2 linked regions of the Diceros bicornis minor genome follow. The protein of the gene in region 2 interacts with the protein of the main gene of each other region in a pairwise test. Links are inferred from orthologs where the notes say so. Each region holds a gene or a part of one and is shown on either strand. Other genes may lie near its edges. The genes, in order: TTC33 and TCL1A.

What was found.
Region 1: the proteins of TCL1A (region 2) and TTC33 interact in binary tests that used the Homo sapiens proteins (3 or more experiments, as listed by UniProt). The two-hybrid records come from large-scale screens. The link is inferred for Diceros bicornis minor from reciprocal best matches to the Homo sapiens genes TCL1A and TTC33.

The regions. Positions count from the first base shown.
Region 1 is NC_080759.1:29,127,021-29,137,635, reverse strand, and holds the start of TTC33 (tetratricopeptide repeat protein 33), read right to left. Parts: upstream 4,887-10,615; 5' UTR 4,789-4,886; intron 4,717-4,788; exon of another isoform or gene 4,557-4,716; intron 2,201-4,556; exon of another isoform or gene 2,053-2,200; intron 1-2,052.
Region 2 is NC_080763.1:41,263,173-41,274,055, forward strand, and holds the start of TCL1A (T-cell leukemia/lymphoma protein 1A), read right to left. Parts: upstream 4,736-10,883; 5' UTR 4,703-4,735; coding exon 4,583-4,702; intron 1,585-4,582; coding exon 1,414-1,584; intron 998-1,413; coding exon 941-997; 3' UTR 937-940; intron 435-936; 3' UTR 1-434. UniProt on the Homo sapiens protein: Enhances the phosphorylation and activation of AKT1, AKT2 and AKT3. Promotes nuclear translocation of AKT1. Enhances cell proliferation, stabilizes mitochondrial membrane potential and promotes cell survival.

The sequences.
Region 1 (10,615 bases), on a different chromosome or scaffold from region 2:
TCTTACCAAATATTAACCTTGAATCAGATCCAGCCTCTAACAGCTTATAAGAGATATGGAATACAGATGAGCATGCTCAATAACACATCAGAGATGCAGACAGCAAAAAACAGAAAATAAAGAAAAATAAAACTGGTTTCTTCAAGAACTAAACTGCCAGGAAAAAAAAGGAGAGAAAGATGGAGGTAACCCCTAGATTAAGAGAGACTTAAGAGACATTAACCAAATAGAATGCGTGGATCTTGTTTAGCTCCAGATTCAAACAAGCCAACGGAGAGGAAACATTCATGAAACAAAAAGGGAAATCAGAACACTGATTTGATGTTTGAGGATATTTGATGATATTAAGGAATTACTGGTATTTATTTTTTAGGTATGATAATAGTATTGTAATTAAGTTTATTAAAAGAACCTTAGAGCCAGCCCTGACAGCCTAGCAGTTGAAGTTCAGCACATTCCGCTTCTGTGGCCTGGGTTCAGTTCCTGGGAGCGGAACCACCATTCATCTGTCAGTAGCCATGCTGTGGTGGCAGCTCACATAGAAGAATTAGAAGAATCTACAACCATATACAACTACATACTGGGAGTTTGGGGCGGAAAAAGGAAGAAAAAGGGAGGAAGACTGGCAACAGATGTTAGCTTAGGGAGAATCTTCCCCTGCAAAAAACAAAAAAAGAAAAAAAACCCTTATCTTTTAGGAATACATACTAAAATATTTCACATGAAATTACATACCTAGGAATTGTTTCAATGTAATCAGCGGGGGGTGGGGGGAGGGTGCAGTAAAGGAGAAATATAGATGAAAAGATTGCTAGGAGTTGACAGTGAATGAAGTTAGGTGATGAGTACATAGGATTCCTTGTACTTTTCTCTCTTTTTTCATGTATGTTTGAAATCTTCCATAATAAAAAATTTTTTAAATATTCAAACTTGGTAAATGACCTAATTCACAGAACTATTGGGGCCTGCTTACCTTTGGTGTCCATTAATAACACAATTATTTGTGTTATTAATAAAACAAATAATTGTTTATTAACAATTTAATAAATGTTAAATTGCTTTATAAATCTGCAATGATATACAAATGCAAGGGTTAGAAAGAGAAGATAATTGATGGAACAAAGCTAAAGGAAACCCTGGAAAAATTCAACAAATATTTATTAAGAGAAGGGATTTACTGAGGGATCCAAGAACTCTTACTACTTACATGGATGGCCTTAAAGATACTGAGAACTCCCTGGAATTATATATAAATTTTTACATGCCTGTGTGCACTCTGGAGAAGAGTGTCTAAGCTTTCATTCCATTCCTAAAGAAGTCTATGACCCCAACTCACTGATCAACTAACTGCTGTTAGTGCTGACTCCTAGTGGAGCCCTGCCCAGTCTTTTTTGCCTCATCCTCTCACCTGGCGCTATATCAGACAGTGCTCCACTGCTATCCATAGAGTTTTCACGGCCAATTTTTTTGGAAGTGTGTGGCCAGGTCCCTCTTCCTAGTCTGTCTTAGTCTGAGAGCTCCGCTGAAACCTGTCCACCATGGCTGACCCTGCTGGTATTTGAAATACTGGTGACATAGCTTTCAGCATCACAGCAACATGCAGCCACCACAGTAGGACAACCAATAGACGGTTGGTGTGGTTCCCTGACCACAAAACAAACCTCGGCTGCAGCAGTGAGAGTGCTGAGTCTTAACCACTAGACCACCAAGGCTGGCTAGCTCAATTAGAGGGGTAAGCAAAAGCAATGAACCAGAGGTCTTCATAAAACTATCAAAGAATGAGCATTACGGGAGTAAGGGACGAGAGAAATGAAACAGTAAGTTCTAGCAGATATCAGGATCTTCATCACTGATGCATATGGCTGAAGTAAAGTGTAAGTAATCACTAGAAGGAAGGGGACAAAAAAAGTGAGGGCAGCTGTGAGTTCATTCACATGGAAAGGCCCAGAATAATGGCAGAACTTAGAAGGATAAGAAAATTGTGGGCCATATGCCTAATTTCTTAATGAATATGAGGAAGTGCCAACAAGTTACAACAATCAAGAAACGTACAGGCTGAGGAGCCGGCCCGGTGGCTCAGCAGTTAAGCACACGCACTCCGCTTCGCGGCCCGGGGTTCACCAGTTCGGATCCCGGGCGTGCACCGACGCACTGCTTATCAGGCCATGCTGTGGTGGTGTCCCATATAAAGTAGAGGAAGATGGGCAAGGATGTTAGCCCAGGGCCAGTCTTCCTCAGCAAAGAGAGGAGGATTGGCATTGGTTGTTAGCTCAGGGCTAATCTTCCTCACAAAAAAAAAAAAGAAAGAAAGAAAGAAACGTACAGGCTGACACGGGTGAACCATATGCTTTCCACAGGAAGAGGGATTTTTAGAAAAACCTGGAGAAGTAATGGATTATAAACTATACTAAGGAATTAGGACAATGCCACACTCTCTCTCCAGACCCATTAAAATAGAGGAGAATGAGTTTCCTATGTTTGAAGATGACTACATGTAACTCAGGGGAAGACCCAAGAAATGGCTGAAAATGGAAGTGTGGTTAATATGGAACAGAAGTCCAGAGGCACAGAGTGAGACTGTGATAGAACGGATCGTTAGGAAAGTCTCACGAGATCTCAGGATAAGTCAAGTTAAGAAGTCTTGTATTTATGACTGTCCTTAAAGGTGACAAGAATGAGGATGATTACATTTTCCGTCTTCAAGTTTCAAATGGAACTTTGTTTCTAAATCAGCAATGTGAGGCACCAGGCAGTGCGAGAACCCTACTAATACAGATGGAAATCTGGTGCGTTTACTAAAGCAAATTATATTTGAACTCATTGGTCAGGTCTGTAGACTATTGGGAACACGGGTCAGGGTGGGGAGGAAAGGAAAAAGGGACAGACAGACCCACATGTATTTTTTAAAAAAGCGAATAGGTCATTCAGACTCCCAATACCCTCCCCACCCTCCAACCCAAACCATTGCTATAAATGCTGAGGACAGGTACAGGTTAAGGCCCCAGACAGTGGTTCTCAACCATGTACAAAAAAGCCACACACACTGCTGCCTCGGGTGTTTCTGCCATTCTCCTCCACAAATACTTTAAAATCTTCTAGAAATCAGAGGCTGTTGGAGGTTAGGAAAGAATGAAGTTATAGGGGTATAAAAGGCCTGATGACCACCAGCAACTGACAAGTTTAGCCTTAAAGACAGAGACAGGAATATTTTCCTCTCAGACAAGAGTTGATACTGAGTGAAAAGTATAAGCAAGTTCAAGGGTAGAGGGAAGAGAAAATACAGGATTTTACACCCCTAAGCTTCACATTTCTCCGAGAAATAGAAGGCTAGTCCTCTGCTCCAACTAAAGGGAAAAGAAATAGATTTGAGCACTTGAGAAGAATAGAAAAGATCTGAAATAGTCATTGTGGAGTACAGGAAAAGTGAAACAAGGGATGAGTAAAGATATCAAACAATATCAAGGGCCCACTAAGGGTAAAAAGCACGAAACTGCTACCAAGGCCATTAGTTTTATATTTTTACAGTTTTATATTTTCTTCAAAATTGTCTGGAGACCACAAGAGTATAGTCAACACAATACAGCTTAAGTGCAATTAGAGAGTAAACAAAAGATGTTACGACGTCAGAGAAGAGACACTTGATGCTTCCTGAAGGGATAAGTTTCGAAGAATAAGTTAGCTAGGTTTGAAAGGACGGTGCGTTCCAGAACATATGCAAAACACTTCCTGCCTCAGAACTTTTAACACCCCGAGTTGATTCAGATATCTTAAACAGTACGAGTTTATTGTTCCTCTAAAGCTATCTGAACATGAAATTAAAACTTCTTATATAGAAGGCTTTCCTGAATCCATAGTTAGATGCACAAGGCATCAATATCCTAACCTTTACATTTTTTTTCACCAGGATAAGAAATCATACGGGTAAATCATAATCATATGGGATTCATATTAAACTCATGAAACAACACAAATTCATTTTATATAGAATTACAGTTAGTGAATGCCATGAAAATTCTAAACAACGACGTTGTATTCTAAATTCTTTTGCTGGTACAATGATCCCTATAGTAGCGCTCAATTACTGTCTATGGAAATTGTGACCGTTTACCCAGCCACAAGCCAGAGAGAATGCCTGTCTTCACTGCGTCGGAGGATGCAGCACCCCAGGCGAGAAACCACTGGAGGAATACGATCAGGAAATCAAAACAGCATCCTTCCGGGTACAGGGATGTATTCAGAAGTGAGGAATTCAAGAAACAATGGGCCCGAAAATATCACCGCAACAGAAACCAGTATTGGCGACTTTCCTTCATTTTCCATAACAATAAAAATGTGCGAAGTTCATACAGGCTGCCCTGGACGTCACCTGAGAGTTCCCCAGCCCCGCCCTCCGCCACAGACACCACCAAGGAGGGGTGGAAAGAGGCTGGGATCCGCCCTCCCAGCGCTACGGAGAGATCCAAGCCGCACGGTCAGCCTACGGAGTGCGGCAGCCGCCCCAGGCGCGGGGGCATGGGCGGCCCGACCCCCAGACGTGCTCGTCCCTAGAGACCAACCTTAGTGTCCCGACTCTGCCACAGTGTGGTTGAATCTCACCTCCGACTTCTGAAGCTCCTTTCTCCCCCGACCACAAACCCACTCGCCTCGTTTGCGTCTCTTCCTCCGGCTTTCACCACGCACCGAGTAACCCCAGTTACCTGATAACCACTCCCCAAGTCCCGTGTTTACATTCCGCTTGACCTTTGCCCACCGGAAACGGAAATTATGTCCAACATCCTGCTTGCTTACCTTGGGCGCCTGGTCTCTCAAGAAATGAAGTTGCCCGACCCACGGATTCCGAACCGTGCAGAGAAGCGGGCGAGGAAGAGGCGAGTCTCAGAGCCTTTGTCTCATGCCAGTCTCTTCCCCGGGACCACAACTCCCAAAAGTCACCGCGGCCGCCCCCATCCCTGTTACCCTCTGGGATTTGTAGTTCGGACCACCGCGGCCCGGAGCGCCCTCTAGCAGCAGCCCGAAGCGTCGGCCGCGTGGGCGATCGCAATGCAGAGACACGAGAAACTGCGGCTGCGCGGGCTGAGGTGCGCGCGGAGGGAGTGAGTCCCGGACAAACCGCGCGGCTCACGCAGTCAGCGGGTAAAGCAGTCGAGGCGGGGGCGTGCTCTGAAAGAGTTGACAACCTAGCTGATGAGGCCGAGCAGATGCGGAGGACAGACGCAAAACTCGATTGAAAATGGGTTCAGGGGAGCCGATCAGAGAGGGCCGTGGTTGAATTGTAGGCTTCACGTCGGAAAAACATATCAGTTGGACCCAGAAGAGAGAATTATGGCCTGAAAATGGCTGTGGCTCATGTCTTGAAAATAAAGTGGGGAAATGTAACCCAGGAAAGTGTTTAGGAAATGGAAAAATTAAGATTGTTAACTTATCAAGGTAGCTATCTTGTGCAAAGGAAGACCATTTTCGTAGACTAGGCTTTCTCAACCTCAGCACTGTAACATTTCAAACCGGCTAATTCTTTGTTGGGGGAAGAGGGGCTCTGCTGTGTGCTGTAGGCTGTCTAGCAGCATCCCTGGTCTCTATGCACTAGATGTCTTTAGCATCCACTACCACCACCACCATCACAAGTTGTGACGACCAAAAATGTCTCCAGACGTTGCCAAATGCCCCTGGAAGAAAAATCATCGCACCACCCCTGCCCCATTGAGAACCGCTGATGTGAACCAATGATTCTCAGACCTCAGAGGGTAACCAAGACCTTTTCAAAAGTCAAAACTATTTTCATACTAATAGGAAGACATCATTTGCCTTTTTCACAATGTTGACATTTGCACTGATAGTGGAAAAGCAGTGGTGGGCAAAACTGCTGGTGCCTCAGCACAAATTAAGACGATACCAAACTGTACTAGAAGCCATTGTATTCTTCACCACCACACACTCGTAGCAGGGAAAAAAATACCGTCACTCAAGAATGTCCTTGATGAAGCAGTAAAAACTGTTTTATTAAAATGACCCTCCAGGGCTGGCCCTGTGGCTTAGCGGTTAGGTGCGCGCGCTCCGCTGCTGGCGGCCTGGGTTTGGATCCCCAGCATGCACCCACGCACTGCTTCTCTGGCCATGCTGAGGCCGTGTCCCACATACAGCAACTAGAAAGATGTGTAGCTATGACATACAACTATCTATTGGGGCTTTGGGGGAAAATAAATAAATAACATTATAAAAAAAATAAATAAAATGACCCTTGACCTTCTTAATATTCTGTATGACAAAATGGGAAGTACTCATAAAGTATTTCTGCTGTATGTTGAAGCATGATGTCTCCAGTAAAAGCACTTGTGAGACTGCATTATAAACTGAAGTAAATACTCTTTTCGTGGAATATAACTTTTACTCAGAAGAACGACTGACAGACCAACTAATTCAGACTTGGGTATTTGACAAAACTTTTCTTGAAAATGAACAAAGGGAGTCTGTTACCTCAAGAAAAACAAGTGACAGTGTTGCCACTGGTAAAATTCAAGAATTTAAGCAAAAATTATGATTTTGGAAAACTTGTTTGCCATAATGATCTTGACAGCTTCCCAATACTTCCAGACTTTTCTGATGAGATCAGTGGTGACACCAGATGTGATTTTTATTTATATTGTTAGATTAAATGCATCAACATTTGTAAGAGCTCCATAAATGAACCAGTATTTTCAAAATGATCAATGCATGATTGTGGTAGCCAGCTTCCAAGATAGCCTCCTATGATCCCTACTCCCAGCATTCACACTGTGCAGATCCTTCCCACATCATACCAGAGTTGTTCTGTTACCTACAGGATATGTATATTAATTATAAAAAACACTAAGGTGGTGGCAATGTTTCTTAATCTGGGTAGAGGTTTACATGGCCATGTTCACTGCAAACCTAAATACACTGAAAATTCATTGAGCCAAACAGTTATGATTTGTGCACTTTTCTGTACGTACCTCTATGAAAGTCTTTAAAAATATCTGTCTCCCTAACCAGACACTCAGAGCAGAATTTATGCCTTATGGTCACATTCATAGTGTTTGGTTCATAGTAGCCTTTTGAGGGGATATAGTTTGCAGAGTGAGTTATTAAGTAGTGCTTGAAGATGTACCCCTTTCGAGGGGTCTTTCCTAAATCTCTCAAATAATTTAACCTTGATCCATCCTATTCTGGTAAAGTCTATCTCCAAACTGTACATTTTCACACTTCACCCACCACTTCTCTACTTACTTTGGTCTCTGATCTTGATGTCCCTGATGATGTATTTAATACATTTCCCATGCTGTCTGTTTATAGACAACATGATCATCTTCCAAATTGCTAGAAATCTTCTAAATCTATCATAGTTAACATTTATTGACAGTCACAATAAATAGAACAGTCCATTTGTTTACAATAAATAGAACAGTTCAATAAATATTGATTTTTCAAACAAGAGAACTTCTTGTACAATTTTCTACAGTCAGGGTAAATACTTAGAGCAATTTATAAGTTCTCTAAAGAACAATCTTATGTGCTATTAATTAACACTCTTTAGTACTATTTTCTTTTCTTACAATTATCAAGCTATTTTAAGGATTTAGAATGCCAACAATCTAGCACAAGCCTGCCTAACAGTGCCAGACGGGATGGAAGATTTCACGCTAATTGGATTCTAACATAGTGGAATTCCAACCAAATCCAGTGTTAGCACCCAGAGACATGGTAACCGCTTTGGTTTTTATTGTACATATATTAATATTTTGTTCAGTTGGCTAATTTTTAGATGAAATTAAACTTAACTTAGTTGAGACAAAAGTCACAATGTTTGAGTGCTAAAATTTATTCAAGCACTATATTTTATATTTAGGCACATTGTTAAAAAGATGCAGATGGTCAGCCATGAACAAGAGCTTTCTTTTTTTCATTGTTTTTCCAGAAGTTAAAAAAGTTAAGCACACTGTAACAGATGAAAAATGTTTTCCTTTTTTATCCACTTTCTAAATCAAATTATTTGAAATTGTCTACTTAGATATACTCCAGTCAAAACATCCATGAACGTCTCAGAAATATTGTACCACAAAGATCGATTTCTACCCTACTACCAATTTAGTTATATTGTATGTGGAATTTTATTCATCTCGTCAGAACTCACAACAAAAATGAGATTTTTATTGTGGATGAGGGAGATGGAAGGAATTAAGGGGAAAAGATTTTAACGACACACATTTTTCTTTCATTCCAAAGGTGCCAGAGTATAGATGCATGAAATTCTACATCCAGCCACAGTCCACCCAACATTAATTCAACGTAAATGGTATTACTACAAGGTCAAAAGGGTGGGGGGTGGGCAGGGCAGAGGGCAGGACTTTTTGTAGAAAATCATTTAAAACTCTGAAAAACTACAAAAGCATCTCAAGAGAAAATATCATCAAAGTAAAAGCAATGGAGTTTATTTCAGTGAAATTATTTTAAATTAGATATGATATATTAAGCTCCCATATCCCGCAACCTGGTAGAAAAGTTCCTCTCAGTGAGAAATCATTTATTTTAATGGCAAAATTTTTACATATCAGTAAAATCTGTTATATTTAAAACTATGTATACAGTACATTTCTGGCAAAAACCTTATACATCTTTCAGTTGTCAAGACAAAGTAAAAATATGGTTGCATAAAATCACAAAAAATATAAATTGCTGAAAAGATAATAAAAAAAGATTAAAAATCATTTGCATTGACTCTCTTATATCTTCACTTAATAAGAATTTGCAAACTACAATAAATTTGTGAAAATTCTGATGCAACCTTGACACACTCAACCAAAAGTTATCATTTCAAATATCCCAGCTTAAAAAAGAATTTACTGCAATAGTCTGTGCATTTATACTATTTGTACAAGTGCAATATTTAAATATCTTCAAAATAAAACTCAGTAACTAAAAGGAATCACAATAACTTAAAAAAGAAGCAAAGTTTACAAAATTAACAATTTTTAGAAGGTCCTATTTAATTGGTTCCTCCTTTAGTTCCCCCCTCCCCTTAACAGCTAATAGAGACATTACGGCGATGTCTTAGTTTTATATACAAATATGTAACTTTAAAAATACAGTCTTCTGTTCTTAACAGCAGGAACAAAATGCTGCATTTAGAGACCCTACATGAAATCAATATCCCCAAAACAGAGGGCCACACACAAATTATAAATACAGTTTGAACTTATATTTAAATGGAACTCCTCTATTAATTTATACAGCTTTCCGATTTAAAGTTGAAGAGAACAAGCCCCAGACAAAAAAGAAAAAACATTTTTCTTTTAAATTCAGTGCATGTTTCTAGAGGTGCTGGAGCCAAATCTACAACTACAGTAATTATTTATGCAAGCTATCATGACATTTGAGTACATTACTGTCTGGTTACATGGGTGCTCACTGGATTTCCCAAACCAATCCTATAATACAGAGTCTTAAAAGAGAACAAAAGATAGCTCTGTTGCAATGGAAAAATGATTAATATCCCCCCCCAAAAAAATCAATTTCTTGAAGTTAAAATAGTATAAGGCAATTATGGGTGATAGTGGTTTTTTTATTTTTTATTAGCATACATGATACCAATTTTATCTGAGGTGACTTTAAATCTTCATTTACACCTATTATGTAATGCTATTACTAAGAGCAAGAAAAAGAAAATACGAATCAGAGATCTTAGGAAGATTAAGCATCTTTAGGCAGTTCTCATAATCCTACTTTTTAAAAAGTACTTAAAATCCAAAACAAATGTGACCATCTAGAAGAACTAACCGATTTGTTCCATATTTTATCAGAATAATAATGTCATATCTAAGGAGACATAACCAAATGCAATGTGTAAACTTTAGTTGAATCCTAGTTTGAAATAACCAACTATAAAAGAAATTTGGAGGACAACTGGGGAGATCTAAATATGCATGATTAGATGACATTAGGGAATTATTAATTTTATAATGGTGTTATGGTTTTTTAGGAAAATGTCATCATTTTTGGGAGATGCTTGAAATGTTGAGGGGTGATGAGTATGTCTGCAACATCCAAATGGCTCGGGGGGGAACAGCATATATATACAAGCATATATGTGTATAACTATATCTATATACACAGATATAGACAAAGCAAATATGGAAAAATGTTAAGTATTGAATCTAAGTGGTAGATACACATGTGATCACCCTTCAGACTTTCAATTTTTCTAAGAATGTTCATGATAAAATTTGGGAGAAAAAGTCTTATCTGAGCGTTTAAACAGTTTGTAAGAGATGTGCTTTCTGTGCACTGAATCAATTTAAAAGATACATAATCGAATGCTAGAAATTTCTACATACATTCAATACCGGCTGACATGATAAGCAGCAGAATTTGTGAGACTGGCAAAAACAAGATGATTTACGTACAGTATATGCAACTCAGCTCTTGTGACAAAAACAGCAATTTATGTACAGAATAGAGTGGGACAAGTTGTAAGATTAAACTTACTGCCTAGAGTATCTGAATATATAAGTTCTGTGTGTTTTTGGACTTACCAAGCTAAAGAAAAAATTCTAATTGTGTCTAAAACCTTTGATGTGACTTACCATATACTACAGAATATTAA
Region 2 (10,883 bases):
GGCCTGGCCCAGGCCCAGGCGAGTAGGCCCTATTCCCTTGCAGCCAGAGGTACACAGAGCTGAGGGACAGGAAGAAAAGCAGCCCCGGGTGAGCAGCACAAGACACTAGTTGCTGTGAGGGACAGAATAGAGAGAGGCCAAGAACTGTCAGGCAACTGAGAAAACCCGAGGCTCAGGTATAGCCGGGGCACCTGGAGGAAGCTATACCGAGCAAGGTCCTCTCCAGTGCCAGTCTGCCAGGGGACACCAGGGTGGAGGGGTGCAGGCAGGTCCAGCAGGCCCTGGGTGGGGCTCATCCTCTGCCCGTCCATTCCCTCCCAGACCCGGGTGTGGCAGAGCAGAACACAGGGCTGGTAAAACAGGTGAACACAAGCTCGAACATCCCCACTGCAGGCCAGCAGGATGGGGCCTCAGGGAGACAGGAACCGTGGGACCTGGGGCAGGAGGACAAGACAAGACAAGAGTCAGGGCAAAGGGAAGGACCCGGCAGAGGCGAGGGGCGGGAGCAGAGCTGCCGGGTGGTCAATGCTGGCCCCGGAGCTGAGGAGGGCAGACTGTGAACAGAGCGAGCAGCTTGGTGCCACTAGACCTGGATTTGAAACCTGGCTCTGTGACCTGGGCAAGTCATTGTCCTTCCTCAAAACTCATTTCTGTAACCTATAAAATCAAGTACTACCTAGCTCAGCTGATGTGACAATCAAGCGACACGCCGTAACCTGTGAAGCGCTGTGCTGATGTGTGCCTCTGTTGTTAAGGGGGCTGCCTAAAAAGGATTGGCTCCTAAGGTGGTAGAGGAGGGAGCCTGGGTCCCCAGCCCTCGGGACCCAGGGCAGCACAGTCGGGGCGGGGTCAGCACTGCCTGCAGGGAGAAAGGGTGTGCCTTCTTTGTGACCTGGCCACGCTGGACTAAAAGGTATGGGGCCCCACGGTGCTCACCACGTCACTCATTATCCGGGTCTGGCAGCTGTTCAAGGAGCATATCCTCTATGCCACTCAACTGCGAGAGAGAAGGAAATTAGAGACCAGAGCCCTGGGAATTCTTCCCTTCCTGGCTCCCAGGCCTTCCACAAGCTTGGAGCAGCAGGTGGCAACCTGCATGGGGGGATTCCAGAGGCCCTCGGGAGACTTTCCCTCCTCCCACCAGCCTTCACCCCGAGTGCCCACCAGAGAGGCCTTCATGTGGCGGACGGGGCTTCTGGTAGAGACCCCAGAGAGTGACCTGGTCATTCAGTTCTACCGTCTCTCTAATCCGGTCCTCTCAAAATCTGCAGCTGTCAATTCCCTCCAGTTGTTTTTAGCTTTTGGTGCAGAGACAGAGGGAAGAGATATACTGCCGAGGCCAGGCATTGGGGGGGTGGGGAGCAGGGCCACCCACGATGACCCGACGGGTCCCTGGGAGAAGCACAGGCTTGCCTCGATGTGGTACACTATGCGCCAGAAGCTGGAGTCTGAGCCGCGGTATTTTCTTCCGGGGTAGAGCTGCCACATGAGAGGCAGCAGGTACGGGCCGAGCTGGCTGGGGCGCACCGGCTCCCCCAGGGGGATATCTTCCTGACGCATGAGTACTTGCAGGCTGCTGTCCATCTGAAGGGAAGAGAAGAGCAGGGCACACCGTCAGGGCACACTCAGAGCTCCTCCAGGCACAAATAACCAGAGTCCTTCCTGCCACCCGCCCGGCCCGGCTGGCATCTGAGATGCCGGTGATCACAGTTCCCACGGCTCCATCCCTTAAGCCATGCACGCTCTTCTCAGAGACGCTGGCTGGGCCAGGACGACCAGCACTCACACATGTCCAGATACCCAGACAGGGCCACCAAAGGCTCACTTCTCCCTGACAAACTTCTAGTTGCTAGGATACGCCATGGGGCCCTGAGCTTCCTCACCCATGCGGTTTCCTTAGCTATTTCAGCTGATGGATTTTCTCTGATTTTTCTTTATTTTGTCATATATCCCAAGATATCCCGGACCCCAGAATCAGGTGAGACCACTCTTCGCCATCTCCACCACTGCCCCTCTGCTATCATCTCTCGCCTGGACTATCGCCATAACTTCCTAACTTGCTGCCTTCTTCGTCTTGGGCCCCACAATCAAGTCTCTGCACAGCAGCTAGGGTGTGCATCCAAAAATCACGTCACTGCCCCGCTCGACACCGTCCGACGCCTTCCCATCGCAGGCAGAATGAACTGGAATCTTTACCACAGCCCACAGGCCCACGTAGCCGGGCCCCTGCCTCCTTCATCTCCTGTCATCCTGTCCTTCACCCCCAACCCCGGTGCAGCCACACAGGCCCCCTCGCTATTTCTGGGACGTGCCACACTCCCAGTAAGCTCTGGCACCTGTGTCCTCTGCCTGGAACATTCTCCCCTAGATCTACACAGGGCTCACATCCTTCTTTTAGGCAGGTCTCTGCTCAACCGTATGTCTAGAAAGACAAATTTCAGCAAAATCCAACTCTAAGATATAAATGAGAGGCATGCCTAAAATAGAGGTTCAGAAAGGTTTCAAATAAAATCATGGGCAAAATATGACAGGCAAATGCGAATTAAGCTCCCAGGGGTCCTGCCTGAAGCCCCCACACCACTCGTGATCACCTCTCATCCCACTTTCCTTCTCCTACACAACTAACCACTGGCCTCGAATGTCAGCTTGACAAGTAGAGGGGTTTTATCACAGTCACTGCAAACCCCCACAGCCTAGAATCGTGCTTGGCATATAAACTAGGCATTCCTGTTTGTTCAATGACTATTTTTCCAAAGTGGAAATAGTTATTTCAAATTTTCTATGAAATAAATTAGAACTCACTATTATAAAATAATTCTGATCATCCTGCAAAGTATAAGTGTGGAAGTCACCATTCTTGCTCTGTTAGAGTCTTCTATATCCTTTAACCATTTTTAGTTTGCTTATTCATCTTTTTCTTATTGATTTAAGTAAATCTTTGTTGTTGTTAGTGCCCTCGAGTCAATTCCGACTCCTAGCCACCCTCTGTATAGCAGAGCGGAACCCTGCCCAGTCTTTTTGCACCATCCTCTCACCTTCCGGTGCTGTATCAGACAATGCTCCACTGCTATTCACACGGTTTTCATGGCCAATTTTTCAGAAGTGGGTGGCCAGGTCCTTCTTCCTCGTCTGTCTAGTCTGGAAACTCCACTGAAACCTGTCCACCATGGCGGACCCTGCTGGTATTTGAAATCCCAGTGGCACAGCTTCCAGCATCACACCAACACACAGCCACCGCAGTATGACAACTGACAGATGGATAGTGTGGTTCCCTGACCGGGAAACGAACCCCAGCAGAGGTGGTGAGAACTACAAATTTTAGCCACTAGACCACGAGGGCTGGCTAAGTAAATCTTTACATATTAAGAATACTAGTCTTTGCAGTTACAGGAGGCAAATGGGTTTGCTAATGGGTTATGTTTTGTGCAGAATTTATAATGATTATGTGAAAAACTCTGTGGTTTCAGTGTCATGTTGAAGAAGATACCCCTCAACCAGAGATTAAAAAAAGATAGTCACTTAAATTTTCTTCAAATACTTGACTTAAAAAAAGCAAATATTTAACTTGATTTTTAAAAGTATATATATGTATACATAAAAAATTTGAATTTCAATAAAGATGCAAATTTAGATGGTGGTTAAGAACCTGGAACCCCAAGCCCATTACCTACTAGCAGTTCTACTTTGGACAATATTACATTTTTATGCCTCAAGTTTCCTCATCTGTAAAATGGGGACACAGGCACTACTCAATAACTTTTTGCTGTTTGCTAATATATCACATAAATGTTCTAATATTATGTATTTAAATTTTGCTTTTATGCTTTCTTCCATTTATATATGGAAAGAGTTTCAACATTTTTCACCTAAGTTTCTTGGAGGAAATCTATGCTCTGGTGGAAAGTACTTGTAAGAGAGTTATATTTCTTTAAAAAAGTTAACTAAAGCTCCATCTTAAGGCATCACACATAAGACAAAGTCAACATTTATTCAATGCTGGCTTTTATCCTACTGTATTGTTTGTGAAGTTTGTTTTTTCCAAAGCATAGAGGAGATATGAAATAACCCAAACTCTAGGGCAGTGGTCCCCAAAATTGGTGATCATAATCTGTCTGAGGGTCCTTTTACAACACAGATTTCTGAGGCTTACCTAAGGAGATTCTGATAATCAGCCACGTGTATGAATCTTTAGAGAGATGTTATTCCCATTTTATGGCTTAGGACCCTCAAACCCAGACAAGTCCTATTTTACTCAAGATCATGTTCACACACTCCAGAGGCAATGGGTCCCCATCCTTTGGCCAACATGCCTTTGTGTTTTTCCCCACCCTCCTTCCCAGCGAACTGGAGAACTCCTACTCATCCTTCACAGCCCACCTCAAAGTGGTTTCATCTGTGAGCCCCCTGGCCGCCCTGGGCGGATCAGGCCTTCTGAGCCTTCCCGCCACCGCCCTCACCCTGCCGCCTCTGAGGGGCTCCTGGAGGGCCTCGCGCGGCCTGGGACGTCTCTGGCTCCCCAGGCCGGGCCAGGGATGGTGACGCCCATGCTGCCCCGCCCGGCCTGGCCCCGAAGCGGCCATACCTCGATGGTTATGGGCAGCCAAGTGCGCTGGTTCTCGTCCACATACACGGCCCTTTCCCAGATCCACAAGCGGTCCGGGTGAAAGGCAGTGTGCGCCCTGAAGAACGGGAGCTCGCCCATGGCGCCTCGGGCGGTCCAGGCCGCAAGACCCGCAGCCTCTCCAGGCCTCTCGCTGGTGTGTGGGACGCAAGGCCTGGACACTTTATAGCGGGATCGCGTGCGGGCGCCCCCAATCGGTGGGGCGGGGAGGCGGGCGGGGCGCGAGGTGGGACGTGCGAAAGGGCCAGGCGTGAGGTAATGGGGCGGGGCGCGGCGCACGTGGGGCGGGGCGCGGGGTAGTGGGGCGGGGCGTGGGGTAGTGGGGCGAGGCGCGAGGTAGTGGGGCGGGGCGCGGGGCACATGGGGCGAGGCGCGGCGCACGTGGGGCGGGGCGCGGGGCACGTGGGGCGGGGCGCGGGGTAGTGGGGCGAGGCGCGAGGTAGTGGGGCGGGGCGCGGGGCACGTGGGGCGAGGCGCGGCGCACGTGGGGCGGGGCGCGGGGCACGTGGGGCGGGGCGTGGGGTAGTGGGGCGGGGCGCGGGGCACGTGGGGCGGGGCGTGGGGGTAGTGGGGCGGGGCGCGAGGTAGTGGGGCGGGGCGCGGGGTAGTGGGGCGGGGCGCGGGGCACGTGGGGCGGGGCGCGGCGCACGTGGGGCGGGGCGCGGCGCACGTGGGGCGGGGCGCGGGGCACGTGGGGCGGGGCGTGGGGGTAGTGGGGCGGGGCGCGAGGTAGTGGGGCGGGGCGCGGGGTAGTGGGGCGGGGCGCGGGGCACGTGGGGCGGGGCGCGGGGTAGTGGGGCGGGGCGCGGGGTAGTGGGGCGGGGCGCGAGGTAGTGGGGCGGGGCGCGTGGGCTGGGCGCGAGGCAGGATGGGCGGGCGCGTGGCACGTGGGGCGACCGGGCAGTGTCCAGAGCTGGCCCTGAGCACTGGCCAGACTTATGTCCTGGGACCGTGGCAGCGTCTAGGAGCGCAGGCACAGCCCAACAGACCCTGGACTTCCTTAAGGACCCCAGCCAGCCAGCCTCACCTCCACGCCCCTCCCATTCCCCACTGCTGGGGAGGTACCCTGTTCTGTATCTTGGTCCTTTCTTCTGTCTGAGGCACCAGCGTCCTTCTCTCCCCTTGACGCCCAGACCCACTGTCCGAGTCAGCTGGTCAAGCCACACCCCAGACCGGCACTCCGAGCCTCTGCTTGGAACTCACAGCTGACGCCAGACGACGCAGAGCCAGGGCCCCCCGCCACACCTTGTGGGATCAGAAGAAATCCATGCAAACCTGAACCAGGCCTGGTGTTTGCCAGGTTCACAGCATCACCTTCAGCCTGTGGATTTGGGTGTCAGAATCAATTTCCTTGGCAAAGTGCAACTCTTGAAGCCCCCGCCCCCTCCCACACCCAAGACATGTATTTTCCACGGCTTTGATGATGCTGTGGTCATCTAATAGCTATTGTGAAACTTGGTGGTGAAGAAACATGGGTTTTTCCCTTTATAGGCTTTGAATTCATTAGTGAAAACATGGTTCAAAAGGAATACTTAAAAAGAAACCCCTCCCTCTACCCCAAGATCAATGGATTTGAAGTCCCTGGGTTACATGATCAAACCTCTCTGTAAATTACAGCAAATAAGGAAAACAATTTCACTTCATTTTGGAGTAACACACGCGCATTAAGGCAATTAAGAAAATAAAGTACAATGAGAAACTTGTAAACGAGCTTCAGCATCATTGCTCAAACATCACCGCTGCTGCTGCCTAGCCTTCCAGCTCTTCCCCATCTCTCTGACTAGGCACTAAGAAAATAATTGATCTTTTCAAACGTCAGGAAAGTGACAATGAGCCTAACACCTGATCCCCTGATAGCAAAGGAATGTATCTGCTACTCTGCCTATCCAGACAGCCTAATTCCCAACAAGGTGCGGAGGTGGCCTACAGTAATAGACATATAATTGGATTTACCAGGAACACAAAATAGAAGACAAAAGCCAAGTAAGGTTGGGAGTGGAGGGAGGAGACAGGAGCCCAGCAAACCTCTTTGCCAGTGCAGCCCCTAGTGGTGTTTGTATTTGATATTCAGACTTGTGGCTTTCAGGGTGATTTCCCTGTGGATGGGTCTTAATTCCAGACCCAGACAGCCAATGGGAGCAAGATACTGTGGTAATATGCTCTGTTGGAGACGTCTCAGCCGAGTCCTGAGCTTTGAGGTCAGAAATGATTAACAAGTCCAGCTTAAACAGTGCCTCTGGGATGGCCTTTTGTGGCAAGGGAAGGGGGCACCCAGGAGCCAGTGTGGCCAACTGACCCAGCCACATAGATGGCTCCAGGATCCAGAATGCCACTGGGCCTGTCCATTTCATTAGCGCTTGTTTTGCTTTTCTAAGCAGCACAAAGAAACAAATAATGGAGCAAGAATCAGACCCATTTGGCTGGATTCCCTTCTGAATGTCCTGGGAAGATGATCCCCCCTACTTTGAAAGAATGTTATATTTCTTCATTTTCACATGAGGGTTTCTTAATATTGAGCAAGAGTATATGTCATTCTTTGTAGGATTTGGAAAATCATTTGAGAAGGAGTTCCAAAAAATGAAAAGTGAAATAAGGATGACTGAGGAATTCATTGGGCAGCTTCTGTGGAGGCCTTGAGCCTTCTTTATGGAAATTCCATGAGAGGGGAAACAATAGCTGCTGTGTGGTCTCAGAGGCAGGGGAGCCTCTCCAGCATGCTATCTGCCCCATCTTAGGGCTCTGAGGGCAGTCAGCCTAGCTTTAGAGTCGTATATTCCTTTCTGACTCTTTGTTAGTCTGCAAGCTCCATGGAGATAATCAAGCGGATGTTGCATGTAGAAAGTAATACAAAGCAATTATTTTTGACTGATTTTTTTACTAGAATCCTTAACTGATGCTTTCTTCTCCTGAGTTGGATCCAGTTTTGACTTTGCCACTCTCACCTGTGAAATATGCCACCCTTTGCCATCTCAGCCTCGTTGCCAAGCTTTTGTAATGAATGGGCCGAGCTCTATGGTCTCTAAGCCCATTTCTAACTCAACAGTCCCTGATCCCCTGATAAAGTTGCCTAGTGGGAGGAGGGAACGATTAAGAGAAGAGATGGATACACTCATGACATTAGTTCAGGAAAGCCTATGGTTTTGAGCAGAGTGATTCTGGATATTAAGGACCCCAATGGAATTCATTCTTCGAGAGTGAGGAAGCCATCCTTCTTGTTTGGGTTCCAAAGAAGGGGCTCGAGGGTGAGTCATGGCCATCAGTGTGAACTACAGCCTTGCTGCCCTAGGTATGGTCCCTGGAGCATCATCTGGAGCTCATGAAAACTGCAAAGTCTCGAGCCCTCCCCAGACCTACAGAGTCAGAATCTGCATTGTAACAAGATCCCATTGGTCTACAGGGGGAGGATCAGGAGAGAGATGGTGGGTGTCTGCCTTATTCCACCAGCTCCCTTTAGATTTCTCTAACTATGACACAAGAGTTGGACATTCGTTTCTGTATCATTTCGCTCTAGGCTATTTTATTTTCTGTCAAAATCATTTCTAATATATAAAGCATTCTCCTCTTAAAAGAAACTCCTGGTACCAATGTCATCCTAACCTTGATTGTAGCACACTGTAAAGAGCCTATACAGGGCTACGTAGGCATCCAGGCCTCTGGGCCCTACAATGAATGGCCCTGAACCACTAAGCTAGTGGCTCACAACCCTGGCTGCTAATTAGAATCACCTAGGAAGCTTTTATAAAATACCTGTGCCTGGACCCCACCCCAGACCAATTAGACCAGAATCTCTGAGACTGAGGCTTAAGCATTACATTTTTTTTTAAGGGGGTCCTCAGGTGATTTAATGTGTAGCGAACCTTGAGAACCACTTCTTTAAGATTTGAGTTAGTGGGTTTGAAGTGTGAACAAGATTTATAAAACCAAATAACCGTGAAAATGTTAAAGCTATTCTTTCTACCACCAATTCTCACTATAAACCTCACCCCAAGCCTGTACTTTACTTTTTTCTCTATGTTCTACTTTTAATTTGCTGCTTCCAATCTTTTGTGTGCAGGGAACCATAACACCAAGATATTAGGATTGTAAGGTTCTGAGATCTCGCCAATGTGTAAAACACAGAAACTCTGCAATGTGGATGTTAAGGCATCCGTGCTAGTTGCCTAGAGTGGTTTTTTTAATTATTCCTAGGTCTGGGCCATATTTTACATAATTAAGGCTGATGATCAAGTGAGCTCAGAGTAAAAGAGATAGACTTTGCCCGTAAAGGAGGAAATTTCATCTCTAGATGAATGGAGAATTTGGGACAAGAATATTCTAAGTAAAACTCGGGGACTGAACAGAGCTTTGCCCACTGCATAGCTACTATCTCTCTCTTTAAACTTAACTGAGTTTTCTTTAAGTTTTAAGCGCTTCTCAAACTTTAAGGTATGTATGGCCATCTTGTTAAAATGCAGATTCTAATTCGGTGGGCGCGGGGGCGGGGGGCAGGATTCGGGGAGGCTTGAGATTCCGCATTTCCAACAAGTTCCATGGTGAGGCTGATGGTCTGTGAACTACCTTGAGTAGCATGGCCCTCTACTCACCCAACCCACAGACAAAACAGAATGCAAAAGCAAACCACACCCATAACCCCTACTTAAAACGCACCCGGTAGTTGATGCTGGAGTAAGCAGCATGCAGCAGAATTGCAAGACACTGCGGGCTAAAAATGGGGCTCCCATTGAAACCGGCAAAAAGTTAGCCATTGATGATTAAGTAGCTAGGGACTAAAGACTAAAGTTCTTTGTCCTTTTTGCAATTACTGGCTATAGCTTTTAGCTGTTTACCCGCCCATCGTTAACTGTGCTATTTAGGCAATATGCTATCTGACTCCCACTAGATTCCTATAGATGACATCTCTTTGAAGCCTGGGTCACCATGGTAATGGGTGTTTGAGCTGTTTTTCAGGAATTAGAACCCCTTGTTCACTTCAGGCCGGTTGAGACCACCAACCCATCAACTGGGCCCACACAGATGTCCGATAAGCGACCTTTTGACATCAAGAGGCTAAAAACTCCACCCTTGGGTCATGCCAACACCACCATTTTGTGAACACGCATCCTATGAAGAGGCGTGAAGTCTAACCATGCTTGCACAGATCATCAATTACCTCACTTCTCCTCATCTCCAATCATCTATCTCCACATTTCAGACCACCTTGCCCCCTTCCGGATAAATATCCTTGAGTCCCTGTTTTCGGGGAAGCGGGTTTGAGACTCATTTTCCCGTTTCCTCACATGGCTGCCTTGTGATTAAACCCTCTCTCCGCAATCTCATCATCTCAGTGATTGGCTTTCTGGGGGGCAGGCAAAACAAACCTGGTTCGGTAATACCATTTGTCCAGAGGCAGGTGAAAGTTTACCCAAATTAGTATCAGAAACATTTCTCAGCTCTGAGATTTTTCCACACTTTGGCTATTACCCGCAGTGTTACTGGTGCTGTGCATCACCTTGGTTCTGCTCCATCCTCAATTCTTTTTAATTTAATTTGATTGCATTAATTTCCCCTCAGAAAAATATTTCATATAGCTCTGTATTCCGTCTAGGAAATTAGGTCATAGTCTTTATGCTTCTAACAGATGTAAGCTGAGGTAAATATGTTGACGATGGACTGCTTTTAGCTTTCATGCTGAAAACACCCTCTGTACCCTTTACACAATATCTCTTGACCTAGCTTTTCAGTTTTAAGGATATTTTAAACGGAATTTTAGTCAATTAACATGGTGTGGGACTTATTTTTATATGTGAGTTATATAAATATCATATACTATATACTATATGTAAATTTTATATAGCCAGCCCTGGTTGTCTAGTGCTTAAGATTCTGTGCTGTCACTGCCACTGCCTGGGTTCGTTTCCCGGTCAGGGACCCACACCACCCGTCTGTCAGTTGTCATACTGTGGTGGCTGCGTGTGACTATGATGCTGAAAGCTGTGCCGCCAGTATTTCAAATACCGTCAGGGTCACCCATGGTGGACAGGTTTCAGCGGAGCTTCCAGACCAAGAGGAACTAGGACAGAAAGACCTGAACACCCAGTTGAGGAAAAATTGGCCATGACAAGCCTGTGAAAGGTGGTGGAGCACTGTCTGACGCAGCATGGGAAGCTGAGAGGGTGGCGCAAAACCGCTAGGTCAGAATCTAGTTGTACCTTAATTTTTCCAAATATTTAGCGTATCTCCCAAACACTACTGAATAATTTATCCTTCCACACAAGATTTCGGA